Canis lupus familiaris: one gene and its partners. The protein of the gene in region 7 interacts with the protein of the main gene of each other region in a biochemical or structural test. Links are inferred from orthologs where the notes say so. Each region holds a gene or a part of one and is shown on either strand. Other genes may lie near its edges. The genes, in order: UBE2Q2, UBE2L6, UBE2G1, CDC34, UBE2W, UBE2H and UBA1.

Region 1 (4,156 bases), on a different chromosome or scaffold from region 7:
GAGAAGACTATTCAGAAACTGGCAAGCAGGAGTGCAAGGAAACGGGTGAGGCGCAGTTTTCTCAAATGTTAAAGACACTGTGTAAGTATGCTTCCTGGTGAGCAAGGGAAAAGACAGGGCCTAGCACGTGGAGGAGCTCAATAAATATCTGGGAATAAGAGCAAAAAACAAAAAACAGATAAAATTCAGTATTTTTTTTTTTAAGAGCTATAACATTTTAGAGAATAGCAATTCACAAACACAATAGACAGGAAATCCAACCTCATTTTTTTCTTTGCTCTTTCCCCTCTAAGCAAGCGGTATGGGCACCAGCAAGCCATGTAGATTTTATCAAACACCTACCTATGCTTAAAGAGTGTCGTCTATTTTTTAGAGATACTCACTGAAATATTTACAGATGGAGTGACAGACCAGGAACCTGCTTCAAACTAATCTGAGGTGGGGTACAGGTGACATTGGTGATTGGCCAAAAATTGACCATTGATGAGGCTGAAGACATGGAGGTCCTCCACACTATTCAACTTGTGCATGTTTGAGGTTTTTCCATAAAAAGTTAATACACGTTCCTGTACACTGAGCACTCAGCATGGTAACTATTTTCTAGTGAGACCTCTCACAATCCTGAGTAGCTCCTCATACTGGTCCATCCCACACCCTCCTTCCACCCGGTGTTTCTAATCCACCCCCGTGCTGTGCTCTGCTCTGTGCAGCTGATTCCTATCAGCCTCCTCTGCTTCTCACTGGAGACGATGCCGGCGTCGTGCTGTGGGCACAGCCTGGACACTAAAGGACATCTGTCACCCCTGGAGCCCTGGCACTAGGCGCCAGCACAGCAGCGGTGTGACCCTATGGCCACCGAGGTGACCACAGCCATCCACACACACTTCCTGAGACCACACCCCGGAGAGAACTCCTTCTGGCCAGGGCAAGCACAGTTTTCCCGACTTACCTCAGGAATTTAGGAGCTGCCAGAAGCCTACAGGGTGCATCTGAGCACGTAAGGCAGCCCTACCACGTCCTGGGCAGCTTCCCTGCAATGGTCAGCACTCAGGCCAGTCTCCTTCATGCTCACTACTACTTCCTGCTTCCCATGTGTGGGAAATGTTGTCCTTTACCAGCCTATAGCCTCATACTTTGTCTACTTCTAGGCAAGCCCCATTTTCTCAAGCTTTGGTGTCTTTTCTGGATAGTTCCCTCTGCCTGAACCGAGCTTCCACGCCCAAGATTCTACTCACCTGTGAAGGCCCCACTCCACTGCCACCCCCCCACACACACACACACCAAACTCTAGTTAAGTGCTGTCTCGGGCTTTCCTAACGACCCCGTAGAGCTTGACAACCCTCGGTCATACGAACCTCTTCCCCAAAGACGATTTTGTTCTGAAAACTGCTCTACCCAGTTTTGCAAACCGGCCCTAGAACAGCACACCTAGACGCTGCACGCCTGCTCTCCCCAGCACAGCACTTGTCTCTGTCTCTCAAAAATACACAGCTGCTCCCGCAGAGCGTCTGAAAATGATTTCACCGTCAGTTATCATGACTTCCAGCCCTTTCCAACTCCCCAGTGCCACCGGCTTCACCAGACTTGGCTCCAGGGAGCGCCCGGCGGCCACCTGGACTCCTGCTGTCAGAAGCTACTCCGCGGCTGGGAACAGCACCCCAAGTCAACGGGTCACCGTTCCCTCAAACACACCCAGGAAAGGGTTATGAAACGCCAATCCCGCTGTTCCTAACGAGCCTCCAATTTAACCCAAAGAGGGAGCTTTAAACTGCCGCTTGGGCTTTGTGGCCTAAAATCCTCTTTCCGGGCAGAAGGCTTGGACAAACATCCCCTTCTGCCTGCAGATCATCCCGAGGCTTACGCCCAGGGGGGCCCGGCGGCCAGAGCCCGCGGCAGCACCTGCGAGCCCGGTACGAGGCGCCCTTGGGGCTCGGCCGCCCGCGCGGAGCCAGGCCTGCAGGAAGGGGTCGTTCAAGCAGCACCGGACGCTGCGTTCTCCACTCTCCCTGGAAGGCGGCAGTTCCCCGCGTCAGCTCTTCCTTAAACGTAGCTGGGGGAATAAGGGAGCCCAGGGACAGCTGACTGCAGAGTAGGGGGCCCCCCATCGGGTGCCGGGGCTCCCCCTGCCGCAGGGACAGCGGGTGTGGCGGCCGCGGGGACACGGGCGGGCCCAGGGGGCAGAGCGGGCCGAGCGCCCGCAGCCCCACGGCCGCCCCGCGGGACAGGTGGGGGTAAGCCCCCTCCTCCCCCTCCCTCCCCCTCCGTCCCCTCCCCCTCCTTCCCCTCCTTCCCCTCCTCCCCCTCCTCCACCCGCGCCTCGCTCCAGGGCCCGGCCTGCGCCCCGCGGGGGCCGGGGAGGGGCCGGGGCCTTGAGGGGCGACTGCCCCTGCCTCCCGCCCCCTCCCCTAACCATTCTCCCCCGCCCCGTCCCCTAACCCCCTTCTCCCCTCCCCTCCCCCCTCCCCCCCAGCCCCGGCCGAGCCCCGGCCGAGCCCCGCGCCTCACCGTGATATTGCAGTGCAGCGAGAGCGGCGGCGGCGGGCGCGGGCTGCCGGGCGGGGCCGGGGGCGGCGGCAGGAACTGGCAGTGCAGCTCGTCCAGCTTCCAGCTGACGACGCGGAGCCGCTCGTGGTCCTTGTGGAAGACGGACGCCAGGAGCTCCAGCTCGGCCTTGAGCCCCGCCACCGACATCCTGCCCTCATCTCCGGCGGGCCCGGAGCCGCCGTCACGGCCGCCGCAGCCCCGCAGGGCCCCCCGGCCGCCGGCCCGCGCGACGCGGCGAGAAACGGCGGGGGCGGCGGGGCCTCGGGCGGCTCCCGGCAACCGACTCGGCGGCCCGTGAGCGCGGCCCCGCGGCTTCAAAGGGCAACGGCGCCACCGCCCCCGCCCCGCGCCCCGCCCCGCGCCCCGCCCCGCGCCCCGCCCCCCCGCGCCCGCCCCCCGCGCGGCCCCGCCCCCTCCCCGCGGCTCCGGCTCTAGCGCCGGCACGCCCCGCCCCCGCCCCCGTGCGGCCCCGCCCCCCTCCGACCCCGCCCCGCGGCTCCGGCGTCTGCACGCCCCGCCCCCTCTCCGACCCCGCCCCCCTAGGCCCCGCCCCTCTCCGACCCCGCCCCGCGGCTCCGGCGTCTGCACGTCCCGCCCCCTCTCCGGCCCCGCCCCCTAGGCCCCGCCCCTCTCCGACCCCGCCCCGCGGCTCCGGCGTCTGCACGTCCCGCCCCCTCTCCGGCCCCGCCCCCTAGGCCCCGCCCCTCTCCGACCCCGCCCCGCGGCTCCGGCGTCTGCACGTCCCGCCCCCTCTCCGGCCCCGCCCCCTAGGCCCCGCCCCTCTCCGACCCCGCCCCGCGGCTCCGGCGTCTGCACGTCCCGCCCCCTCTCCGGCCCCGCCCCTAGGCCCCGCCCCTCTCCGACTCCGCCCCCTAGGCCCCGCCCCCCTAGGCCCCGCCCTGACCCCGCGCGCTTCTGCCCCGCCCGTCGGCCGCGCTCCGCGGGCCCTGGGTCTCGGGGTGTGGGGCGGGCGGGCCCCGGGGCGCGTCACCTGCAGGATCCGCAGACCCCTGCGCGCCTCTGCCCCGAGCCCGGCGGGCCACCTGGGCGGGGTGGGGACGGGGCGCAGGGGGCGCAGGGCCGCACAGCTGCTCGCACCCGGACCCGCCCCGCTAGCCCGGGCCCCTGCCAGCGTCTTTCCTTTCCTTTCCTGCCCTGAGCGTTGGTCCCCTTCCCACGCTTAAGGAAACCCTCTGAGCTCCCAGGAGGCAGGACTGGCCTATTTTCAGTGAAGTCTTAGCTCAAATGTGTCAGAGGGCCGCCCAGTCACCCAACACCGCGTCATCCTAGGTTAACGTTTTTACTCAGCACCAATCACTGATATTTTGCTTATTTGTCCATCGTCTCTGCCCAACACGAATGTCTTCTTCAGAGTTGCATCCAGGACTTGGAACAAGGCCCTTCGCGGACACGCAGCGTCCCTGCCTGGATGCTCCTGGGAGGCCTGCCCAGCACGTGCTGCAAGCCCCGGCGCCTTCCGTGCGGGTGCAGGATGCCTGGAGGATGCCTGGCGGTCCCTCCAACGGACCGAGCCTAACGGGGGAGGGGGGGGGGCAGGGGCCTAGAAGGAGGACTCACTCCCTGGCTGTGCGACCTCTGCAGGTGCACAGGG
Region 2 (2,746 bases), on a different chromosome or scaffold from region 7:
AGGAACTGGCAACCGAATGGGATTGCAAGTGGTCTCAAAGCCATGTAGTCGGGAGCGTCTGGGTGGCTCAGCCGGTTAAGCATCCGACTCTTGGTTTCAGCTCACAATGATCTCGGGGTCGTGGGAATGAGCCCCGCCTCAGACTCCACATACGGCCTGGAGTCTGTTTGAGAGTCTCCCTCTCTCTCTGCCCAGCCCCCTGCCCACATGTGCTCTCTCTCTCTCTCAAATAAATAGTCTTTAGAAAAAAAAAAAAAAGTTTAAAACCACGTTATCAGGAGCGCCTGGGTGGCTCAACTGGTTGAGCATCCAAAGCTTGGTTTTGGCTCAGGTCATGATCTCAGGGTCGTGAGATCCAGCCCCGCCTCGGGCTCTGCGCTAATCAGGGGGTCTGCTTGAGATGCTCTCCCTCTCCCTCTGCCTCTCTCCCTACTCATGCTTTCTCTCTCAAATAAGTAAATAAATCTTAAAAACAAAAACAAAAAAACAGAACCATGTAATCAGATTTCCAGGATCGAGATTCTTTATTTTGTGATTTATCAGTAGAAAAGGAAACATTTAATACTGAACCTAAACATACAGTACACCTATTAGCGGTCTGACTTCAATCACTCAACAAATTGCTCAACTGTAAAGACAAATCCTTCTCCCATGCACACTCCCCATGTCCCCTCTGCCCCCTGGGATGCCAGGGCCCCATGGAGATTCTAGTTGCCTTCTGGGCTTGTTTCCTGCCACCTGGCCCAAAGGTGACCTGTGTCTGTAAGACAGAGCAATTAGTGAGACCAGATTTTCAGGCCACAGAGTGCTGGAGAGCTGGCCTGTCACTGCACAAACGTGAACTCCTCTGGCTCTGGGGTAAAAAAGAGAGCAGGAAAGGCTCACCTGTGGCCAGGTGAACCTGGGAATGGGACCACACACCACACACACACACAGACTAATGATTAACAACCCATGAAGGAAAACATGAAACAAACGAGAGGGGCTCTAGCACCCAGTCTGTCAAACATGTCGTCCATCACACAGAGGACCCAGCAACAGAGAGGGGTCAGAACCAGTTAGGAGGGCCGGTCCACTCCATACTGGAGGGTGAACTCTTGGGCCTTTCTGTTGAACAGCTCTGGGTCCCGCGTCAGCAGGTCGGCGAGCTCCACCCGAACTGGCTGCCCCAGGTCTGGTCTATTCACCAGCACGCTGAGAGCCTCCAAGACTGGGGAGAGAGGCCAGATCAGGACATTAGGATGAGAGAAAGACCGTGGGAAGGAGGCGATGGCAGCCCACCCCTAGGTCCCCCGGCATCCCATACTCACTCTGTGGAGGACTCCCAAGGAGGTTCCATCTCCTTGGATGGAATGACCATGATAACTCTATGACCAAGTCAAATGGCCCTCATTCCTCACTGATGGGGCCCAGAGCCCTGACCGGCTGCACCAGTGCTTTCAAACCACGTTCTGTGGCTTCAGAGAAGCTTCCCATCATGGGGGTTGATGAGATAAATGGGGTTTCTGAGTCTCACCCCCTTTTCAACAAGAACCACTCTGTTTTTCTGTTTGATAGGATTCTAAATAAATCAACTTTTATTTGGGAAAAAGGGTTCTGATTCTAAAGACTGGAAACCACGACTGCCCAGTGGCCTCCCAATCTTTCCTCTGGGAACCTGGTGAAGGGAGTGGCCCATCACTTGAGGCATGTGCACATGCGAACATACACAAACATGGGGTTCTAAGCAAAGAGCGCTCTACAGTCCCCCTGGACACATCTCCCCTCCCCTTTTCCCCCCAGGGATCCTTGTTCCTAAGGCTAAGAATTCTGAGCTGGTCGTGGAGCCTGGGTGGCTCAGTTAAGCATTTGACTCTTGATTTCAGCTCAGGTCCTGATCTCAGGGGCATGAGATCAAGCCCAGCATCAGGCTCCTTGCATAGTGGGGAGTCTGCTTGAGTTTCTCTCCCTCTCCCATCCCCTCAGTTGCACCCCCACTCAAGCGTGCACGCTCTCTCTTTATCTGTCTCTTAAAAAAATAAATGAGGAAAAAAAAAAATGAGGGACGCCTGGGTGGCTCAGTGGTTAAGCGCCTGCCTTCGGCCCAGGGTGTGATCCTAGAGTCCTGGGATCAAATCCCACATCGCGTTCCCTGCATGGAGCCTGCTTCTCTCTCTGCCTGTCTCTGCCTCTCTCTCTCTCTGTGTCTCTCATGAATAAATAAATAAAATCTTTAAAATTAATTAATTAATTAATTAATTAATTAATTTTAAAAAAGAAGAACTGAGCTGGTCCAGAAGCAAGACAGACTCTGCACACAGATCACACTCATGGAGTCTAGAAACACACTGTCCACTATGGTAGCCACTAGCCATGTGCAGATACATAACTTGAAATGAATTAAAATTAACTGCAATTAGGAACTCAGTTCCTCAGTCACATTAGCCACATGTCAGGTGCTCAAGAGCCACACGTGGCTACTGACTGGGGAACCGCACTGTGCGGCTATGGAACATTTCTTTCTCTACAGAACGTCTTCCTGGGGAGCGCTGTCCTAGAGTCAGCCAAGCCTGGCTTTGAAGCCCAGCTCGGCCACTTGCCAGCTGTATAACAGCGGGCGAGCGCTTGACCTGTCACATGCCCCAGGGTCCTCACCTAGTTAAACAACGGGGCGACAGGGACACCGCACATGGGGCTGCTGGGGATTTGGGCAAAGCCAGCGTGCGAAGCTCCCAGCATGGTCCTCCAAGGGCTTAATCGACGTGTA
Region 3 (4,074 bases), on a different chromosome or scaffold from region 7:
CTTGATATTTTTAGATTTCACTTAAAACACTCCCTTTGGGCAGCCCGGGTGGCTCAGCGGTTTAGCGCCGCCTTCAGCCCAGGGTCGGATCCTGGGGACCCAGGATCGAGTCCCACGCTGGGCTCCCTGAGTGGAGCCTGGAGCCTGCTTCTCCCTCTGCCTGTGTCTCTGCCTCTCTCCCTCTCTGTGTGTCTGTCATGAATAAATAAAATCTTAAAAAAAAAAAAAAAAAACTCCATCTCCTGTTTTGTTCATGTTATTTAAAATCGTCCAAATCTTTAAGAAATTAAGAACAGTCCACTGCTTCTGATCAAAAATGCAAGAAAAAAATGGGGATCCCTGGGTGGCTCAGCGGTTAGGCATCTGCCTTTGGCCCAGGGCTGATCCTGGAGTCCCGGGATCGAGCCCCGCATCAGGCTCCCCACATGGAGCCTGCTCCTCCCTCTGCCTGTCTCTGCCTCTCTCTGTTTCTCATGAATAAATAAAATCTTAAAAAAAAAAAAAAAAATTTTTTTTAATGCAAGAAAACTTAATCAGCAATTAACTAACTTTATAATGAAGCTTGAAAAATGACACAGCAATACAGTCTCTCCTCCAACTTCAAAGTGAGTATCAATGGCCTTAGCTAACAGTCAAGCAGTGGGGCACCGGCAAGCTCAGCAGGTGGAGGGTGCAGAGCTCACCATTCCGGGTTGTGGGTTTGAGTCCCACACTGGGTGCAAACAGCACTTACACATAAAATCCTTTAAAAGAGTAAGCCAGGGAGGATCCCAGGGTGGCTCACCGGTTTAGCGCCTGCGGATGGCGCAGGGCGCGATCCTGGAGACCCGGGATCGAATCCCACATCAGGCTCCCGGTGCATGGAGCCTGCTTCTCCCTCTGCCTGTGTCTCTGCCTCTCTCTCTCTCTCTCTCTCTCTCTCTGACTATCATTAATTAATTAATTGATTGATTAAAAGACTAAGCCAAAAATGAAGACCTCTGGAAAATGTTTTATCAACATTGGGATTAATCTTGACAAAAAAGGGAAAACTGAACCAAGAGGCCATCAAAACCTAGAGCGGAGTAGGAAAGTACTTCTCAAGAACTGCTACCACTGTTTTTAGTCATACTTTACTTTCTTAGTAACTGCCTAACTTCCTTCACACCTTTAAAAATGTGTATCTTTCCTGCCATGTTAAGAGCTGAAGACTGTTTTACTACTGACTTCTTATTCTAACGCTGTTCAATAGTTCAGCACACAATAAAAACTTATTAGAGAATTCTTCACGAGACAAAAGGACATCCTAACTCCTTCCTCCAAAACAAAATAAACCAAAAAAAAAAAAAAAGACAAAAAACAAGATGCAATAAGGTCATTGTTTCATCGCTTTTCCGATACATTCTCCGTGATGGATTATCAACTATCGCCAGAACTTCTCCATCCACTTCAAGTCACTGCCCTGAGCATCCAGAAGTTGAATGTGTCCAAACCTGCTTGCTCATGGTCTAATAATAACGCTAATTATACAACCTCCAGCAGTCCCTGACAACCTTTTTCTCAAGAAGCCATCGAGGTGATTGAAGCAGCAGCTCGAGGAGTGTGGACGAGCTGGAGTTCTGCAGGCCCGGGCTCCGAGCGCCGAGCGCAGGACCCGGGGCCCAGGGCCCGGGGCGGCGAGGACCCCGCGGGGAGCAGCAGCGGCGACGGCGGCAGGCGCGCCGGGCCGGGGGTGCACATTTCTCTTTAAATCTGGCAGCACGTGGGGCGGCATTGTGAAGCCACCGGCCCCCCCGCCCTCGGCGCACGTCCGCCCCCAGTGCGCATGCCCCGCTCGCACCGTCCTAGCGGAGCAGGAGCCAACCCCCTAAAAAGTCAACCTGGAAGCCGCAAACGGCCGGAGGCCGGGACAATGGGGGAGGGGGCCGCCGGCGGCCCCGGGGGACCGCCCCCGGCCGCCGCCCCGGCCCGGCCCCGCGGCTCGGGGGCTCAGCGAGCCCGTGCGGGGGCCCTCGGGGCACAAAGCCCGGGGCGGCCGCGAGCGGCTCCCGGCCCGCTCCCACCCTCCGCGGCGGGCGAGGCGAGGCGGGCGGGCCAGGCGGGGCCCGTGCCAGGCGGAGGCGGCCCGGCGGCGGCCGGCGGCGGCCCGCACTGCCCGCTCCGCCAACCCCGCGCGCCGCGGCCGCCCAGGCCGGCGCTTTGTTGTCCGCCCCAACTCCGCGGCGCCGCGCGGCCGGCCAGAAGTTTTGCGCGCCTCCCCTCCGCGGCCGGGGGCCGCCTCCCCCAGCCCGCCCGCCCGCCCGCCCGCGCCCCGCCCGCCGGCCCGGCCCGGCCCCCCGCAGCCAGCCAGCCCGGACGCCCCCCGGCCCCCGGCCCCCGGCCCCCGGCCCCCGGCCCCGCGGCCGCCCCTCCCCCCGCGGCCGCACCTGAGCCCCGGGGCCCGCCCCTCCGGGGCCCCGCAGCCCCTCCCCCGCAACGTCCCACCGCGCGGTGGGGGAGGGGAGCGGAGGGGAGGGCGCGGGCGCCGGCCCGGTCCCCGCGGCGGGCCGCGTCCCCGCCCCCGACGGCCTCCCGACGCCGGCCGAGTGCGGGCCCGGCCGGACGGACTCCCCGACCTCGCCCCGGCCGCCCGCCCGGAGGAGGAGGGCCCGGGCCGGCCGGCGCTCACCTGCCAGCTGTCTCCGCAGTAGCAGCGCCGACTGCAGCTCCGTCATCCTCCCGCCGAGGGCCCGGGCCGGCGCCGGGGCTTCCGAGGGGCCGGGAGCAGGCTGTGGGGGCGCCCGGAGCCGGGAGTGCTGAGGAACGCGGGCCTCCGCGACGGGAGAGCCGGGGCCGGGGCCGGGGCCGGGGCCGGGGCCGGGGCCGGGGCAGGCCGGGCTGGCGGCGGGAGCGGCGCCTCGCTACCGGCGCGGGTCAGCGCGGGGGGCTCCACACGGCGCCTCACGCCCGGAACGGGAGGGCGCCCGGGCGGCCGCGGCGCGTACTGGGACTCCGCTTGCCCGCTCCCCTCCTTCGAGCCGCCCGTCGGCCCCGCCGGTGCCTTCCCCCCGCCACTGCCTTTCCCCCCGCCACTGCCTCACTGCGCGCAGGGCCGCTCCGCGCAGGCGCGCTGGGGCTGCCCACCTCGCCTCGGCCCGCCCGCCGGCCCCGCCCCCGCCGGCGGAATCCCGCCCCCTGCGCGCCGCGGCGCCCGCCGCCGCCATTTTGGGAAGGTCGCGCGAGGCGCAGGGGACGCCGGGGCGGGTATGGGGAGAGGAGCCGCTGGCCGACGCCGCATGGACACCATGACGAGGAGGTCGCCGCTTGCCCGGACTTAGCCCCGGGGCTGGAGCAGGTGGTCCCGGAGTGCGGGGCCAGCTTGCGGGCGACTGCGAACGAGCCGTGGCTGGAGCCGAACTTCGTGCTGGTGTGTCCCGTTTTACGTAAACCCCCGAAGCTGACGTCAGGTGCTCTAACTCCCTTTACAGGAAGAAGGGTGAAGATTCCTGGCGCACCTCTTACTGCGGACTGACCTTAGAGCATCACCTGGGACCCCGCGGACGGCGCTCGGGCCCTCAGTCCTCCAGCACTTGCCCGGTGCGCCTGCACAGCTGTGAGGGCCGCGGAGGCCGCGGAGGGAACCTGGGCCTTCCCGTCCCTCGAGCACCTGCACGGCCCCGGGGGCTGCGCGACCCCGTGGAGCGCGCTCCGGCCCCTCGGTCCCTCCAGCACCTGCCCGGTGCACCTGCACGCCTCTGTAGCGGGGGCCGCGGGGAAGGACCGCCCTGCCCTTGCCCGCAGGAGGCTGGCTGCGTCCTGGCTCAGACCGCTCTCCAGATCAGGAATGTCTCCGAGAATCGCCCTGGGCGCCCCCAGAGCAGGTACACGTGGAGAGGGGCGCCCTGCTCCCTCGGGGTCACAAGCTCCGCAGGCAAGGCCTCAGGTGTGCTCAGTGCGGGGTCACTAAGGAGGAGAGCGAGACAGGAAGGCCCCAAACGTGTTTCTTTATAACGAGAAAAGAAGTCATACTTAACGGTCCGCTCTCCTCAGGGCCTCCCTGCCGCAGCCTAGCTTGTCCCCGCGCTGGAGCTTTCTGGCTGCTCCATAAAAACCAGT
Region 4 (4,091 bases), on a different chromosome or scaffold from region 7:
TGCAGGGAGTCGTGGCCCTGTCCTCCCGCGTCCGCGCCCCAGGGCTGGCCGGGCCTGAGGGAGCCCCACAGGGGCAGGGGTCCATCTGCTGAGCAGCCCCTCACACAGGGCCCGGTCCACTCTCACCTGACGTTCTGGGTGGGGTTCCACCGCTCTGAGGGCAGCTCCCCACTCTGGGGGTCATCGACTGGGGGGTGGAGAATGGAGATGCACACGTCCCCCGTCTGTGGGTACAGGACGGAGGGATCAGGGCCCACACCGCTCACCACTCGGCAGGCAGCGCAGCGTGTCCCCCGACAGGGAGGCTGCAGGGCACGCGGCGGACTCACCTCGTAGATGTTGGGGTGCCACATCTTGGTCAGGAACCGGAAAGCCGGCGGGGAGTAGGGATAGTCGATGGGGAACTTGAGGCGTGCCTGGGAGGGCAGAGCGCAGGAGCTCAGCCAGTGCCGCCCACGGCCCCCAGCCCAGGGCCGCAGACCAGGGTGTGAGCTGGGACAGACGCGCCCGCCCGGAGGCCGCCTGGACCCTGCCTGCCGCACGCACCGCCCGCAGGCCCCAGGACTACTCAGGGTCCCCCGAGCCGATCCGGGCCCCACCCCGCGGCTGGGAGCAGGTCTCAGGCCGTGCTCAGTCCAGGCCTGTGGGAGGGACGCGCAGCCAGGCCCCAGGGAGCGCGGCGGGCTCGGGCCGGCACATGGCTCCGGCTGGCAGGGCCCTGGGAGCTGTGCACCCCCGCACGGTGGTGGACTCCTCGGCCTCAGTTTCCAGGTTGTGGGGAAGATTAAAATAGACGTGTGTTCACTCAGCAATCACTCCCGACACCTCTGTGGGCCGGGCCCTGTGGGAGGAGATGAGTCAGCGCTGGACAGACGGGCTCTCTGCCCACAAGTGTCCATCACGGGGGGGCCAGGAAGGCAGACAGGAAGGTCACGGGGCAGACTGGGGAGGGCCACCTGCCCAGGTGACACACTGCTCAGGCCTCAGCAGGTAAAGAAGCCGTGTTGGCTTGTTTGAGCCCCAGGCCCAGACGTGGGGAGGCCTGGCCCCGGATCCTGGCGGAGCTCCAGGCCGGCAGGGGCGAGCCAGCGAGCTGGGAGACAAAGCTGGGCACGTGTGCGGCAACTCCCCCAGGCCCGAATTTGGAAAGTCTCCTTCCTGGGCAGGGGGCACTCGGGGCATTTGGGGGAAGTCCCTCTGCTCTGGGGTGACCATGCTGAGGCCCAGGAGGCAGGCAGCTGGCTGGCGACTGCAGAGCACTCCTGGAACTCAGAACCTGCCCTAAGAGTTTCCAGTGATGGCCCTCGGGGGCGGGGCGGGGGGGCTCCCTGGCACCAAGCACCCACCGAATCGAGCATCCCCCGGGGAGACCGCACCACTGAGCAAGCTCAGGCTCAGAGAAGGAAAGTCCCCTACTGAGGACGCCCGGCGATAAGCCGGGAGGAGGCCTCTGAACTGCCTGTCTCTGGCACCCCGTCTGGTCACGGAGGCTCGGGAGGCCGGGCTGGCCGCAGGGCGCTGGGGGAAGTGGCTGGAAGTGACGGTGGTACTTCCCTGCGCTTCCCCAGCTCCGCTCCCGCCCGTCGCACCTGCACGAGGACCACACTGGGTGTGGGGCCCAGGCCGGCCTCCTGCAGACAGGGCCTGTGGCATCTGGAAATCTGGCCGTGGCCCAGCTCCAGTCCCTTCTTCTCAAGTGGGATGACCCCTCCCCCCCAAAGCCATCCTGGAGGATCTACCCACAATCCCTTGCAACCAGTTAACCGGCAAAAATCAGAAGCCCAAAGCCTGTGCCCTTTCCCTCCAGCTCTGCAGCCTCACCCAGGGGCTCGGCCTGCCTGAGCGTCCCGGCTGCGAGAGCCGTCGCCCTTGCAGCCCGAAGCAGACACAGGAGGCTGGCGAGGGCCCTAGATGCGCTACTAGGTGGCCAACCCCAAATCCGTGCCCTGCGTGCCAGCGGGGGCCGGGCTCCCCGGCCATGCAGAAGCTAGCCCAGGGCTGTCCACGCTCACGCCCCCTCGTCCCACTGCAGCACCACGGTGGGGTGCTCGCAACTCGGGAGTCGCCCCAGCTGACCAGGCTGCTCCCTCACGCCCGCGGCCGAGCAGGCTCAGCTAAAACATCAGCTGAAAGTGCAAACACAGACATGTGCCCCGGGAGCAGCGGCCGCCCCTCCCCCACCGCCTGGCTTCTGCTCCCCACCCTGCCCGGGGCAGAGCCTGGCAGGGCCTGGCAGGGCCTGGCGGGGCCTGGCGGGGCCTGGCGGGGCGCGCAGGCTCCCGAGCAGGGAGGGTCCTGGGCCGGCCTGGGCCGAGGGCTCGCTCCCCACCGCTCGGCAGCGAGACCCCTTGGCCCGCGCCTCTGGCTCGCGTGCACGGCCCGGCCCTGCAACCTGAGAAGCGTCCTCCGGCCCGACCGGGCTCCGGCGGCGAGGTCAGGAGGGCCGCCCGGGGCCTGGCTCCAGTCCTTTGTCACACCAGGGAAACGCGGCCAAGGCCGGGCGCGGCGGCCCTCCCGGCTCCAGGCAGCGCGGCGGGACGGCTCGGGGACCCCGCGGCCGGCGGGGGGCGCAGCGGGGCGAGCGGGGGCGCCGCGGCTCACCTTGAAGTAGCCGCCCTCGTAGTAGGTGTTGGGCGGCCCGAAGATGGCCACCTCCCAGTTGTACAGGTCGCCCTCGTCCACCAGGGTCACCCGGAAGCCCTCCACCGGCTCCTCCTGCAGCCCCTTGAGCTCCAGCAGCAGCGCCTTCTGCGAGCTGGGCACCAGCGGCCGGGCCATGGCGGCGGCGGCGGGGCCCGGGGTCGGGGGCGCGCGGGGCCGCGGGGCCGCCGCGGGGGCGCGGGACGGGCCGGGCCGCGCGCCGGCCGGGGGGACGCCGGGGCCGCCGCCGCCGCCTTCCTCCTCCTCCTCCTCGCCGCCGCCGCCGCCGCCCGGGACCCCGGGACGCTCCACTCGCTCTGGCGCCGCCGCCCGCCCGGCGCTCGCCTCCGCCTGGCCCGCGCGCCCCGCCCCGCGCTGCGCGTGCGCGCCGCCTCCGGCCCCCCGACCGCGCCTGCGCGCCGCGGCGGGGCCCGCACTGAGCCTGCGCGCCCGCCCGCGGGGCACGCCGGGAAGTGGAGTCCCCGCCCCCGGCCCGCCGAGCGCGCAGGCGCGACCGCCGGGAGGGACCGGGGGGGGGGGGGAGGCCAAGCGCGCAGGCGCCTGGGCGCTTCCGACCCCCGGGAGGCCGCCGCCGCCGCCCGCCGCTCGGACGAGCACCCCGGACGTCTGTGCGCGGGGAGGCGGGCAGGGCTGGGCTGCGCCGGCCCGGCACGCGCCGCGGGGCTTTTGGGGTCTTTTCTATGACGTCCCAGCGCGGGGCGGGGCCGGGGCGGGGTCGCCTGGCCCGGGCGGGGCGGAGCAGGTGGCTTCGCGGAAGGGGAGGAGCGGAGGGCGGGGCCTCAGTTTCCCTTCGGGGGAGCGGAGCGCGGGGCCGAGCTGGGGGCGGGGTTAGTCCCCACCGCGCCGGGCGCACACCTGGACGCACACCTGGACGCACACCTGGACGCACACCTGGCCCCGGCCTCCATCCTCCACGCCCTCAGGGACCCAGAGGGTGGGCGTGGCGCTGTGCCCGCAGCCTCGCTGGCAGGTGTCCGGCAGGCCCCAGACCAGCACCTGTGCTGCGAGCCCCTCCTCCAGGTGCCCCAACACCTGCCCCCCCGCCCCCCGCTGCCGTCGCCCAGGTGAGGACACACAGGGAGCCTTGTCTGGCGCGAGGGAAGCAGCATTTCATCTAGAGGAGAGGGACAGGGGACCGGAGGAAGAGCCCCGGGCCCGGCAGCGGCTTCCGGCGGCTGCCCCAAGGCGGGGACCCTGACGTTCCCATCCGCAGAGTGGGCAGCCGCTGCCCCGCACCCCGGGCCACCTGGCTCCGTGCCCCTGGCCAGGGGTTCCCTGGCCCTCGTTCTGTGCCCGCGGCGCCCACGTCAGCAGCGGCATGGGGCAGCTTGCCAGTAAATAGTAATTAGAAGTAATCACGATTCTTGCAAATCCAGATCCCAGGATCTCCCGACGGAAGCCCCGCTCCCCCACGAAGCATGGGTGGGGGG
Region 5 (4,089 bases), on a different chromosome or scaffold from region 7:
TTATATTACATTTCTATAATTTGTATGTCTTTAAAATAGTTCTTATAGCTTCAGTAATCTCCTCAGCCGCGATAACATCCTGACGACCTGGCGTAAGATAAAGAAATCTGAAAACTTTTTAGGTAAGGACATGGTTAGAGCAGCATATGTATACTTTTTCCTAAGCACTCTGACTGAAATCCCCAAAACATCCATTTCCTAACCTCCTTCCATGCTTTCCCTTCATAGCATTATCACCTTCTAATATAATATGCAATTAACTTAAGTATTTGGTTATCTGTCTCCCCCAACTAGACTATTGTATCCAGAGCAGAAATCCTTGTCTACTTTTGTTCACTGCTCTATCTCTAGCACTCTGATTAGTAGCACAGTAGGGCCCTTAAAAAATAATTGAGTAAATAAACAAATCCAGTTGTTTTGAAAAGAGTGAAATTTTGCTATTAAGGGGCATCTAGCTGGCTTAGTTGGTAGAGCAGAGTCTTGATCTTGGGGTTGTGAGTTTGAGCCCCAGGTTGGATGCAGAGATTACTTAAAAAAAAAAATAAAATAAAATCTTTAACACAACATTTTGCTATAAAGATGGTCAGGAAAAATTTTATTCACCAAAGACGGAATAACCACACAGAAACCAGTACTGAATTTCGAAAAGCTTGATTTATCTATATTAAAATTATTTTTCAAGGTACTGTCAGAAAACCTGTATCTGAAATATCTGTATCAGATATTTCGAAAATACAAACAAGCAGTGGGAAAATACCTAAAACACAGAAAATTCCACTTATTGCAGTGGCAAATATTTTTTTTTCCATTGCTCAAGTCACCATGTAAAATTCAAGATTATCAACATTAAGTCCTGCACTGACCCAATTCTGTATTCACTTTTTTCTCTTAAACCGGGAAATTTGTTTTTTCAGACCCTCAAAGTTTACATCTAACCAGCTAACTAGTTATCCCTATAATTGTCTTGTTAAATATAATCACAGGTGCTGTGGGTTTAACCATAATTTTTAGTCTTGAAACAAATTATTTTAATCTTAATACAAACTATCTTAAATTAGTCATATAGCCCATCTACTGTTCAACTAGTGTTCCACAGTTCCTTTTTTGGCCTCAAATGACGAAACCTCTCTAACGTCTCTGGGGAGACCAGTGTAAAGTATAATGTTTCCTCAAATTGTTCTTGTTTTTTCCCTGCACCGTTTTGTGACATCCCTTCAAGTAGGAAAGTTAGACATTTTTCTATTCTTCAGGAAAGTCCAGAAGCAGCAGCAACGGTAAATAGAATATCGCATGGAAAACTGGTTGAAAGGGGATAACACAAAAGCACAAAAGTAAATGTGAAGCAAGTATGTACGCAAAAGAGGAAGATGCAGAAAAGAGAAGAAAAAAGTGTTCTCGCCTAGAAATGAAAAACAAACCAAAAACAGAGGGTGGGGGAAGATAAGAAGATTTGCTTATTCTTCTAGAAACAAAAGCACTGAATCCTAAGAAAAACGTGGGTCTCTTTAAGATGTTAAAACTCTAAAAAGCACTCAGCTGCCACTCCAAACAACAGTTCTATCTTCTCTCCCTAGGTGTTCTCATCAGAGCTAGTCTTCATTTGTAAAATTAAATGCAGGCTATAGATAAAGCAGAGTCAATCTTTACAAAACTGCAGTGGTGGTTGCCATCTTTGCCTGGGGGGAAAAAAGAAAAAACAAAACAAAACAAAAAACCACAAAAAAACAAAAAAACAAAACTCCTTGGATCTGGAAAAAAAGGAGCATATTAAGTTGGAAAGCCAGAAACCCATGAACTGCTAAGTCAGGCAGCTATGACACAGGTTAATAAATGCCTCCTACCAAACTAAGATTCCACTAAAGATCTAGGGAAGAAGGGCAAAGGGCTGGAGCTTTACCGCGACCACAAGGGTGGGGCACCGCAGGGAAAGAAAAAAAAAAAAAAATCTGAGGGCGAGCCATCCCGGAGGTATAAGGGGGCTAGTGACTCAGATCTCGGGGAGACTGCCTCTTAGGAGGCAAATGATGTTGAAGGGCCAAGGGCAGCCTCGGGAGAGCGAGTGCGCTGCCGCACTAAGGTTCGCAGAGGGTGCGAAAGCTAACAGAGGAAGGTACCCACGGGGCAAAGGAGTGAGAGTCAAAGAGAGCAGGGCCGAGCGGTCGGAGCAGCTGGGCGTGGGAGGCCTGAGCAGAGGCCGCGAGGCGCTTCTGCAGCTGGCCGCCGTCCCCGGAACGCCTTTTCAGCTCCCCCCCGCCCCCGGCCCCTCTCCGGGCCGCCCTTGCCCCAGCGACGACGGCCAGAGCAGCTGTTTCCGCCCGGCCGGGGACCGCGGGGAAGGCATCCCCGGGGCGGGCGGGCAGGCCAGCGTCAGTGTGAGCGAGAGGCGACCCGAGACCACTGCCGCCACGCCAACGCCAAACTTCACCCCTTCCTCCTCTCAGCCTTCTTTATCCCCCAACTTCCCGGCCGGCTGGTGTCCGCTTCGACCGCCCGAGGACCCCCCCCTCCCCCGCCCTTCTTCTCGCCGCCTCGCACCCCTCCCCAACGTCCTGAAGCCGGGAAAGGACTGGCCACCAGGGCCGCTCCCGAACCCGCCCGGGTGCCCCAGAGTCCCGGACGCCGCCCCCGACAAAACGCTTGCGTCCTCTCGGCGGCTCCCTCGCCCGCCCAGATGCTGCAAACTCCTCTCACCTGCATTGACGCCATGATGGAACCATCCCCCCAAGGCCGGCGAGGCCAGAGACGCAGGGGGCGGAGCCGCCGTGCTCGCGTCACGCCGCGGGGGCCCAGCATCCTGGGCGCCGGGGGCGGGGCCTCCGGTGGGAAGGCGACGGCGGGAGGGGATTGGCTGGCGCCCCGGCGGGGGGAGGGGCGGCGGGAGCGCGGTCAATGGCGCTGTTGGTACCCTCGGGCCCAGCGCGCTCTCCGGCGGCCGCGCTCCCTCGCCGCCGCGCCGGGCCTCACCTGGCGACGGCCGTAGGTTTTTTTTTTTTTTTTTTCTCTGTTTACCCTAACATCTTGATGATGCCCAGCCCCGTTGGTTTTTCTTTTTGCTTTGTTTTTCCAACCGCTGGTGGTGTGGTTGGAAGATGCTCTTGGACGTCTTCTCCACCGCGCCAGGCCCATATTCACACCTTGGGGCGCGGTTCCCCTGCCCGCGGGGCTGCCTTTTACTCTTTACGGTCTGGAAGGCTTCTCGTGTTCCCAGTGTCGGGGGAGAAAGACGCATGTCGTTGTACAATGGGATGAGGACGGAGAGCAAAACAGTACGTTGGCATTCTAAGGGCCAGGGTGGATTTGTAGAGCTGAAACTTGCCCGAAAGGGAAGAGACATTTTTAAAGTTTTTCTTTGGTTCGTGTGCTGTTGTTTCCCCCTTTACACCAGCCCCTCGGTTTTAAACTAAACGGGTATCCGTAATAGTTAGGTTGTTACGGCATTCACATCTGTGTAGGGATTTGACCCTAGACGCGATTGTTTTGTTTTGTTGTTTTGATGGATCTGTGCACTTTGTAGTATACACTTGACACCTTTTGTCACATCTGGACTTGGCTTCAGCCTGTTTCGTGGTGGGCAGTTCTGTGGTCATTTGACCTAGGGATGTATTTGAGTAGGGAGAGGTGAGCATCCAGAATTTTTTCTGGAATGCACCAGTTCTGCCAACATTTATCAGAAGCCACCTTTTAAAAAGCTATGCCAGGGACCCCCGGGTGGCTCAGCGGTTGAGCACCTGCCTTCAGCCCAGGGTGTGATCCTGGAGACCTGGGATCAAGTCCCACGTCGGGCTCCCTGCATGGAGCCTGCTTCTCCCTCTGCCTGTCTCTGCCTCTCTCTCTCTCTCTCTCTCTCTCTCTCTCTCTGTCTCTCATGAGTAAATAAATAAAATCTTAAAAAAAAAAAAAGCTATTCGACAACTTCAGTTGTCATTGGTTAAGAATAAAATGGAAGGGGATCCCTGGGTGGCTCAGCGGTTTGGCGCCTGCCTTTGGCCCAGGGCACGATCCTGGAGACCGGGGATGGAGTCCCGCGTGGGGCTTCCTGCGTGGAGCCTGCTTCTTCCTCTGCCTATGTCTCTGCCTCTCTCTCTCTCT
Region 6 (4,203 bases), on a different chromosome or scaffold from region 7:
GTCTGTTGTCCTCCTATCTCAGAGATCTATGATTTTAAAGCGCCTCTGCTTTCTTTTGTCAGAAAGGAGGAAGGTGGGGAAAGAACAGAAGGCCAATGCATCTTTGCCTTTCTTCATCTTCTACTAAAAATAAGCTATGAAATAAGCCACTTAGGGGAAGAAAAAAGAGAAAGACACCCTGCTGTTCTTTGTCTGTTTTCCTCTCCCTCTCAACCCCCCACACTCCGACTCCTAAATGCGGTAATCATTCTAGATGCCACAACTACTAAATGAACAAAAGGCACTGTATGGAAAAGGCATCAGGTCAAGTTAGGCCTCACCCTTTATCCTCAATCTTCTAAAAATATAGATGTATATAATTTGAGACTCTGACATTGATCAGAAACAGCTGGAATTCTCTCTCCACCTCCATCCCAATTAAACATTAGGTAGAAATTTGCATTAGGTGTGACAGTAACTCTCAATTCAGGATAAAAATAACTCAGATTCTGCCACCATGTCATTTCCTAGTTTCTAAACAAAAATAAAACCCAAAACTGCTTTGTGTAAAATGCACACACAGCCACAGTTACAAGTTTTCCTGCAACCATATGAAAAGCCAGCGTTACTGGGATCATTCACACATTTACAAAACTCAATCACAGTCACAAACAGCTCATAAAGAGTCAATTTCACTTGTGCCTAGACACATATTTGGAACACATATTATTTGCTCCTCTCTGTAATCTCCTCTCCCATCTCCCCAAAATTGTAAACTTCAAACCCTAAAACTTAGAAGTCTATCTAATGTTCCTAATTTCTAGCTAAGTTTTCCTGAGTGAAGAGAAAAACACCTTATTCCTGAAAAGATGAAAAAAAAATTTTTTTCTTGCCCAGGCAACTTCCCTCCCATCCCCCACTTCCAATCCAAATACAAAAACTACTTTTTTAAAACTTCAGAGAATTCCATAACTGAGTTGACAATAATCATCAATCTCTGAAAAGAGGGAAAACGTCCAATCAAAGACAGTAAGAAAAGTAAGAAAGAAGGAATTCACCTGAAGAATCTAGCCAAACAACTTGAGTTATATAAACAAAACCCTGCAACGGGGGAAATGGTGGGGGGATGGGGGTGAGGGAGAAAGAGAAGCAGGAGACAGGACTTTTTAACTGCGTTTCACACACCACCACTCCCCATCCCCGGTTCCCCTTCTCCCCAGGGATTAGTTGTTCAGAACACTGGGCTCATTTCCTCTCTCTCTCTCCCCTCACCCCCCCCCCCAACCCTCTAAATTACCCCTCAAAAATTGTCTCGATTTGTCACAGGAACCCTCGCGAATTTCTCTAGCTGGTCATGAAATAATCAGTCTGGACTCCAACCAAAACCACTGCCTGAAGGGCCCTTATCAGTTACAGCTTTCCCACTGCTACCTCCAGAGTACATAAAGTTGGGGGGAGGGAGGAAAATAAAGGGTGTCACTTGGTAAAATCAGGGCAGTTATTCCACAAGAACCTTACCCTCATAGAGGGAGTTTGCTCGAGTGGCTAATACAGGGGCTATTTTGTCAAGGAGATCCTCTTTCTCACCCTCCCCCAGCTGTCATAACCACAATATGGAGGGTGGCTTGCTGGAGGGCCTGGGGGTCCTCATCACATCCAACTATGGGTGGGACAGGCTTTGTCAGTGAAAAGAAAAACGGTGAGGTTCTTCGAGGGACCAGAAAGCTTAACCGGGGTCCCTGATTTAAAACACTCAGCTCTTTATTACAACAGGGGGCACTGAGCAGACTACTCTTCCTAATATAGAAAGGAATTAGGGATAAAGGAGGTCACTTGAGTTACCCCAGTTCAAGAAGCATAGGAGGGAACAGAGGCATCTCAAGAAAGGAAGAAAGGCTTCACTCTCGGGGATTTCTATCACGAGTCCCTAAATCCAGAGCGAGCAAACAGGAGAGACCCCGAGGTGGGCACGGTGGTCAAGAGAGGTGGATGGTCCTGCAAAAAAAAAAAAAAAAAAAAAAAAAAGGCCGTCTCGGGAACCCAAATGTCGTGGAGGAAAGTCACGGGCAAGGGGGGTGCAGAAGAGCGAGGAACAACGCACATTTCGGGGTGCTGCAGATAAAGGGGGAGCTGAAAAGGCTCCTGGCTCCTGGCTCCTGGGAGGTGCCAAGGAGCCGCCGTAGGCACGGGGGTGGGGGGGAGGGAGGAGAGGAAGGGAGCCTCGGACAGTGGCCTGGAGTGCCCCAAGGCCCCTGCCTGGGTTTCAGGGGGTGCCCGGGGCATCCCCACACCGCCCCCCCTTGACAGCCCGAATCCCCCCTCCACGAAGGATACAGCTTGACCACGTCCGTGTCCATCCGCCTCTTGCCCGGACTGGGGGATGACATGGTGTCGCCGCTGCCTCCCCGTCGCCTGCGCCGCCGCCGCCTCTCTCCTTTCCTCGGCCCGTCTATCACGGGCCCCGGGCCCCGGCTCCTCGGTGGAGGTGGCAACACCCCCGCGGTCCTGTCGGGTCCCGTCAGCCGCCGCCGCCGCCGCCGCCGCCCCCCGCACGGGGGAACACCGGGCACTGTCCGGCCGGGTGGGGGTGGGGACCCCGCGGCGCCCGGCTCGGGCTGCCCCTCTCCGGCTGTGGGTTCCTCCGCGGCCCGGCCCCGGCGCTACTCTGCGCCGCGCGTCGCTCCCTGCTGCCTGCTCTAGCTCGCTCGCCTGCTCGCCTGCTCGCCCGCTCACCCTCTCGCCGGCTCCCTAGCAGCCTCCACGACAAGCGGACGACTCCTGCTCAGTCGGCCTCTCTACCCCAGCCTCGCTCTGGGCGCCGTGACGTCACCTCTGTGACGTCATCGGCGGGGCGGGCCCGGCTGGCGAAAGGGGTGGGGCGCCGCCGCCGCGGCGTGGACTCTCCCGGGTGGTTCTGGGAGATGTAGTTCTTCTTTCTCTTGCCCTCCCAGCCCAGTGCCCCCTCCCCCAACTCCCCCCACCCCCACATTTAATCGCTCAACTGCCAGTGTCGTTATCATCATCATAAATGATAATAGTAAAGAATGGCAATATTATTACATTTGTGTGTTTTAGGGTAGTGAACCTCCTTCTCATATACACTGTTAGAAAGGCTGTTTATTTGATTTGAGGTGGCAATTACTAGGATAGGCACCAAAATCTGGAAATTCCCACACTAGCAGGTCCCCTGCACCCTGCTCCCTCCTTGGATGGAAGGAATCTGTTTGCAGCGATTGTAGACTACAGCGAGGCTTCCTCAGAACTTGCAAACCAGGGTTCATTACCCTCCTTGTAGAGAGGGCCACAATTTCAAGGATTAACCTTGAGGCAGCTAGTTGGCAAGACCGGAAATAATTTGGTACTAGCATCCTTACCCCACAGAGTATGAGGTAATTTCACAAAGTGAATGACTGGTAGACGCAGAAACACCCCAAGTATGCTGTAGTTCGAAGGACAAAGATTGTTCTGCCTTCCACACTCCTGTACCAACCCTGTATATTCCATCATTCGTTCATAAATAGTTATTGAGCACCTACTGTGTGTGAATCACTCCACTGGGCATGAGGATATCATGGTGAACTAAGAAAGACTTTAAATTTACACAGCCTTCCCAATATGGTCTGCAGATCTAGAGCATCAGCCTCACCTGGGAACTTGTTAGAAATGCAGGCTAGAGCTTCACCTCAGACCTACTGCATTAGAATTTGCAGTTTAACAAGGTCCCCAGGTGGTTCCTATGTGCAGTGAAGTTTGAGAGTCACTGCTCTACAAAGCACTCCATAAGAAGTGGTATGGGACCCACCAGTCAACAAGGCAAAAGGGGCAGAAAAGAGTGATCTAGGCATCTCCTGAGGTTTATATCACATTTTTTGCTGCCATTGACTCTATTTTCAAAATTTTTATCTATTCTCTTGTTCCTATGAGTATACTTGTACTTTGTCAGACCACGTGCTGTGAGATGGGTCCCCTTCTACAACCTCCCATAGACACAAACATACACGCACACACACACCTAGGGCAGCAGCAATCAACTAATGTTGAGCATTCTTCATTCCTATCATCCCATTCTTCCAAAGGACTAGTAATTTGTGTATGTGATTAATATACATAACATAAATTTTGCCACTTCAGCCATTTTAAGGTGCACAATTCAGTGTATTAAATACATTCACCAATGTTCTACAACCATCACTACTCTCCATTTCCAGAACTTCATCATCCCAA
Region 7 (4,248 bases):
AATTATGTACGAGGCTGGATGGACAGAAACACTCAAGACAGCCCTAGCTACTGGAGATTATAGTACTCCAGCCAAGGCAACACAGCCACGCCTTCCTATTCATGAATAATGAAAACCGATACTGCAGAGCCACAGGGGAAACCCAGGGGAAGTGTAGATGCCTTCTCCCCACCCCTGACTAACTGCACAGGAACCAGGGCTGTCTTGGTCCAACGGAATCCAGACTCACTAATATGACTTTGGCAGGTGCTTCAGTTTCCAAAACTGTAAAATGGGGCTGGAAATAGAACCCATTTACCTCATAAAGGCAAAATGTGCTATTATGAAAATCAGAGAATATGGATTAGGGAGTGAGCTGGCAATGCTGACACAGGGCGCTGTTTAATTAAAGTATTATATAATAACATAAAAGAACTATGTAAATATATATTTATATTAATATAAAACTGGTTACGGGTGAGAGTATACTCAGCCACCAGAGAAACCCCCAACTGGGAGCATTATTTAAAAAACAATGTCTTAACCAGACAATGAAATATCATTCAGCATTAAAAAGAAAAAGAGGGATGCCTGGGTGGCTCAGTGGTTTAGTGCCTGCCTTTGGCCCAGGGTGTAATCCTGGAGTCCCGGGATCGAGTCCCACATCAGGTTCCCTGTGTGGAGCCTGTTTCTCCCTCTGCCTCTCTCATGAATAAATAAATAAAGTCTTTAAAAAAAGAAAAGAAAAAGAAAACAATGCCTTGAGTCAACCAACCACAGAAGGACAATGGAAAACAGAATGCTAAAGCCTCCAATGTCTACTGAATAGGTAAGATGGATAGAGGACCAGGTCACGAGAGATACAACTATATACCAAAGCCTCAGGTACACAATAAACACCCAATACACTTCTCTCAAATAATAATAGATCATATTTAACAGATCACGTATTATGGTGATGTGTTCTTCCCATGCATTGTGCCACTGTTCTCAGGAATGCAGAGCAGGAAATTGGTTCCTTCCTGGCCTTCAGGTCTTAGCTCAAAGGCGACCTCCTTAGAGAGTTCTTGAACCCTCACAAAAATCATTTCCACCCACCTACAACTGGCTGTGTGACCAGGGGCTAGACATTTTGCTTTTCTGGGCCACCGTTTCTCCAGTCATAAAATGAGAACAATAGTAACCTACCTTGTGTGATGGGAGTTTAAGTGAGTAAATAGGCAGAAAAGGCTTTGAACAGTGCCATGCACAAGTGCTATATGACTAACATCAGTAGTAGTATATGCAATTAAAGTGGTGGTGGAGGGTACATTACGGTATTTGATTAAGACTACAGACTCTGGAACTAGATTGACTGATGGGGTTTGAATCCTGGCCTAGCCACTCACTGACTAAGTAAGTTTAGGCAAATTACTTAGCCTCCCAGTGTCCCAGTTTCCTCATCTATAAAATGGGGTAATAATAACCTATCTCCTAGGATTGTTGTGGGGATTAAATGGGCTAATAAAGTGTGAAATGAGTGTAAACTCATCTGATCATTATTGTGCCCATACACATTTTCAGGCTCACAGAAAGATCTGCCAAAGATCACAGGGCTTGGCAAGGATCGATGGGATTTGAATCTAGAGCCTTTGTGGATAATCTGGAATTACTGGGCCATAAGGAATGAACAATGTAGGAGGCCTCGTCCCTTTGGTTGACTTAAGGCTTAAATCTTGGAACCTGTAAGGGAAAGCTAACAGCGGGTCATGCAGGTGAAACTGCAAAAGCTACGCCCCTCATGAATTATGCACAATGCCCCTACAAAAGCCACAGAAAACTCGGGGCGCTACTCACCTTTACGATTAATCAATGAGTTCTAGTTTGCCCGGGAGACTGCAGAATGCCCGTTCAGCACATCCCTCCAGCACGCTGATCCGCCCCCTCGTGAATAATTCACAAGCCGATACTTCCAGCGGACCAGGTGTGAAAGCGGCAAAAATGGGCTTCCTTAGCAATCCCACCTCCTCATGAATAATGAAAAAAGCCGCGACCAACGGAGGCCCGGTAGCACGCCGTCCCCTCGGGAAGAGCCCAGCACACTGGGTTCCAGCGTCCCTTCAACAGCCTGGGCTGGGGGGGTCCCTCTCCCTAAAAACGTGTGGGCCCCGACGTGTCCGGTCGCCTCGCCGCGAGTACCTAAGCGCGGGGGGACCTCATCATAAAACTAGAGGTCACAAAGGCCACAGATACATCCACAATGCCACGTCGGTCCCGAACGTTTCCTCTGTCATAGGACCTTGCTTGAAACAAGCTCTCCCCAAATTCCGCCTGGACTTCGGGAACCTCAAACTTCGCTTCTCCCTTTGGAGAGCACCTCCATATCCTGCCTCATGGACAGAGAACTCATACACGGACCTTAAGGGTCTCCTCAAACATCCCCCTAACGCCTGCCTCCGAGGGGTATATAAATCCTGCCTCCCTCCCAGTGATACTCCTTAAAACAGACTCAAAATACTATCCTGGGGTCCCCAAATGCCACTTCCTAAGGGACCACTCGAACACAACCACCCCTAAACGCCACCCCGGGCCCAGAGCCTCCAAATGTGCCCATCAGGGGATCCCCCAAATTGAGTCCCCTCCCCCAAATGCTGTCTAGGGTTTGGGGGCACCGTGCTCCAGCTCACCCCCTGCGCCGGGCGGAAGCCTCGCCTTCCTGCTGGAGATGAGCCGAAGCCACGGGGCAACGGAAGAGCAAACCACCTCCGTCGTACAAGAGCCAGAGTTTGCGCGGAGCTCGGAAGCGCGGGGCCTTGAAGGGCCCCCAGTTTGGGACGTACCACAGATGCTTAGCTAGAGGGGCGCCCGCCTCTGCTCCCGTGCTGTCGGCGCCCGTGTCAGACCCAGACACCCCTACGGGCTGTGGTACGTCCCTATCGCGCGAGGCATGCTGGGGGTGGTAGTCCTGTCTGGCCCGTGCCTGGTGCACGTGGTGGGCTACAGCGCCCAGAGTATGGGAGAATGTAAACCCTGACTGTGGAATTCCCGGAGCTGCGCTCTGGGGGATTGAAAAAGGATGTGGAACATGGGGTACCTCCAGATGTAAAGGCACACCCATCCTACGGATGGGAAGACTGAGGCTCAGGTAGCCAAGGAGTTCATTCACTTGACATTTATGGAGTTCAAGCTGTGGGCTAGGTGCTAGGGATTCTTTCCCTGCCCTCACGGAGCTGATGTTCTTGCGAGAGAGACCAGAAATATGGCAAATAAGTAAAACTTAACAGTTTTGCATATAAATACTTATTATAATAGATATATGTGACTGTATAGTATGAATTATATGTAATAAAATATGCATATAAATACTACTTATTGACATAACATGATAGTGTCAATATGTAAATAATTTACCTCTGTATGTGATAAATGTCTTATATACATTGTGTGTATTCTATATTCATATGCGAATATATAATTAAGTACACATGTAAATACGTGTTGTATATATGTATGTGACAACTGCCAAGTGCTATGGAGAGAAATAGAACAAGATCAGGGGAAATCTGGGGGTTGTCTGTATTTTTAGTGTGGTCAAAGAAAGCCTTGCTGAGGTGGTGATGTTTGAGCAAAGGTGTTTAACAGAAAATATCTTTATCACCCTATCCCAAATTCTGCATCTCATATCCTGTCAATAACCACCAAATTTATTCATTTGAAAAAGATTTCTTGCATGCCTACTAAGTGCAGAACACTGGGAATGTAGCAAAAAACATGAAGGAGGGGATCCCTGGGTGGCTCAGCGGTTTTGCGCCTGCCTTAGGCCCAGGGCGTGATCCTGGAGTCCTGGGATCGAGTCCCACATCAGGCTCCCTGCATGGAGCCTGCTTCTCCCTCTGCCTGTGGCTCTCTGCCTGTGGCACTCTCATGCGCGTGCTCTCTCTCTGGTGTCTCTCATGAATAAATAAATAAAAATCTTAAAAAAAAAACATATGAAGGAGATTGCCCTTGCAACAGTCGAGAACACTCTTCAATCAGATCTTTTCCTTCCTATTTATCTTCTGCCACCCCTCAGAGAGACCTCCCCTGAAACTCCATGTAAAGTGGTCAGGGACCGCCTCTCTGAGGAAGTGGCATGTGAAAAGTGAGGAACCAGGCCATGTGTCACATGGGGGAAAACATTCCAGACCAAGGGATCATCAGGTGCAAAGCCCGAGGCTGTAGTTTTCTTGTCTGAGTAAGAGTGCAGAAGTCTGTGTAGTCAGAGAAGAGTGAGGAGCAAGGAAGGGAAAA

Evidence for each region.
Region 1: of the proteins of UBA1 (region 7) and UBE2Q2, one has a biochemical effect on the other in vitro, tested with the Homo sapiens proteins (3 studies listed by BioGRID). The link is inferred for Canis lupus familiaris from reciprocal best matches to the Homo sapiens genes UBA1 and UBE2Q2.
Region 2: of the proteins of UBA1 (region 7) and UBE2L6, one has a biochemical effect on the other in vitro, tested with the Homo sapiens proteins (2 studies listed by BioGRID). The link is inferred for Canis lupus familiaris from reciprocal best matches to the Homo sapiens genes UBA1 and UBE2L6.
Region 3: of the proteins of UBA1 (region 7) and UBE2G1, one has a biochemical effect on the other in vitro, tested with the Homo sapiens proteins (3 studies listed by BioGRID, with this or other methods). The link is inferred for Canis lupus familiaris from reciprocal best matches to the Homo sapiens genes UBA1 and UBE2G1.
Region 4: of the proteins of UBA1 (region 7) and CDC34, one has a biochemical effect on the other in vitro, tested with the Homo sapiens proteins (7 studies listed by BioGRID, with this or other methods). The link is inferred for Canis lupus familiaris from reciprocal best matches to the Homo sapiens genes UBA1 and CDC34.
Region 5: of the proteins of UBA1 (region 7) and UBE2W, one has a biochemical effect on the other in vitro, tested with the Homo sapiens proteins (5 studies listed by BioGRID, with this or other methods). The link is inferred for Canis lupus familiaris from reciprocal best matches to the Homo sapiens genes UBA1 and UBE2W.
Region 6: of the proteins of UBA1 (region 7) and UBE2H, one has a biochemical effect on the other in vitro, tested with the Homo sapiens proteins (3 studies listed by BioGRID, with this or other methods). The link is inferred for Canis lupus familiaris from reciprocal best matches to the Homo sapiens genes UBA1 and UBE2H.

The regions. Positions count from the first base shown.
Region 1 is NC_049251.1:40,621,687-40,625,842, forward strand, and holds the start of UBE2Q2 (ubiquitin-conjugating enzyme E2 Q2), read right to left. Parts: upstream 2,801-4,156; 5' UTR 2,692-2,800; coding exon 2,506-2,691; intron 1-2,505.
Region 2 is NC_049239.1:39,085,514-39,088,259, reverse strand, and holds the end of UBE2L6 (ubiquitin/ISG15-conjugating enzyme E2 L6), read right to left. Parts: intron 1,211-2,746; coding exon 1,059-1,210; 3' UTR 501-1,058; downstream 1-500. UniProt on the Homo sapiens protein: Catalyzes the covalent attachment of ubiquitin or ISG15 to other proteins. Functions in the E6/E6-AP-induced ubiquitination of p53/TP53. Promotes ubiquitination and subsequent proteasomal degradation of FLT3.
Region 3 is NC_049226.1:30,628,810-30,632,883, forward strand, and holds the start of UBE2G1 (ubiquitin-conjugating enzyme E2 G1), read right to left. Parts: upstream 2,801-4,074; 5' UTR 2,694-2,800; coding exon 2,648-2,693; intron 1-2,647. UniProt on the Homo sapiens protein: Accepts ubiquitin from the E1 complex and catalyzes its covalent attachment to other proteins. In vitro catalyzes 'Lys-48'-, as well as 'Lys-63'-linked polyubiquitination. May be involved in degradation of muscle-specific proteins.
Region 4 is NC_049241.1:58,444,854-58,448,944, forward strand, and holds the start of CDC34 (ubiquitin-conjugating enzyme E2 R1), read right to left. Parts: upstream 2,801-4,091; 5' UTR 2,779-2,800; coding exon 2,602-2,778; intron 417-2,601; coding exon 330-416; intron 225-329; coding exon 127-224; intron 1-126. UniProt on the Homo sapiens protein: E2 ubiquitin-conjugating enzyme that accepts ubiquitin from an E1 ubiquitin-activating protein, and catalyzes its covalent attachment to other proteins by an E3 ubiquitin-protein ligase complex. In vitro catalyzes 'Lys-48'-linked polyubiquitination.
Region 5 is NC_049250.1:22,894,820-22,898,908, forward strand, and holds the start of UBE2W (ubiquitin-conjugating enzyme E2 W), read right to left. Parts: upstream 2,801-4,089; 5' UTR 2,794-2,800; coding exon 2,692-2,793; intron 1-2,691. UniProt on the Homo sapiens protein: Accepts ubiquitin from the E1 complex and catalyzes its covalent attachment to other proteins.
Region 6 is NC_049235.1:6,765,152-6,769,354, reverse strand, and holds the start of UBE2H (ubiquitin-conjugating enzyme E2 H), read right to left. Parts: upstream 2,801-4,203; 5' UTR 2,367-2,800; coding exon 2,314-2,366; intron 1,961-2,313; exon of another isoform or gene 1,857-1,960; coding exon of another isoform or gene 1,822-1,856; intron 1-1,821. UniProt on the Homo sapiens protein: Accepts ubiquitin from the E1 complex and catalyzes its covalent attachment to other proteins. E2 ubiquitin conjugating enzyme that transfers ubiquitin to MAEA, a core component of the CTLH E3 ubiquitin-protein ligase complex.
Region 7 is NC_049260.1:40,985,432-40,989,679, reverse strand, and holds the start of UBA1 (ubiquitin-like modifier-activating enzyme 1), read right to left. Parts: upstream 2,801-4,248; 5' UTR 2,646-2,800; intron 2,146-2,645; exon of another isoform or gene 1,816-2,145; intron 1-1,815. UniProt on the Homo sapiens protein: Catalyzes the first step in ubiquitin conjugation to mark cellular proteins for degradation through the ubiquitin-proteasome system.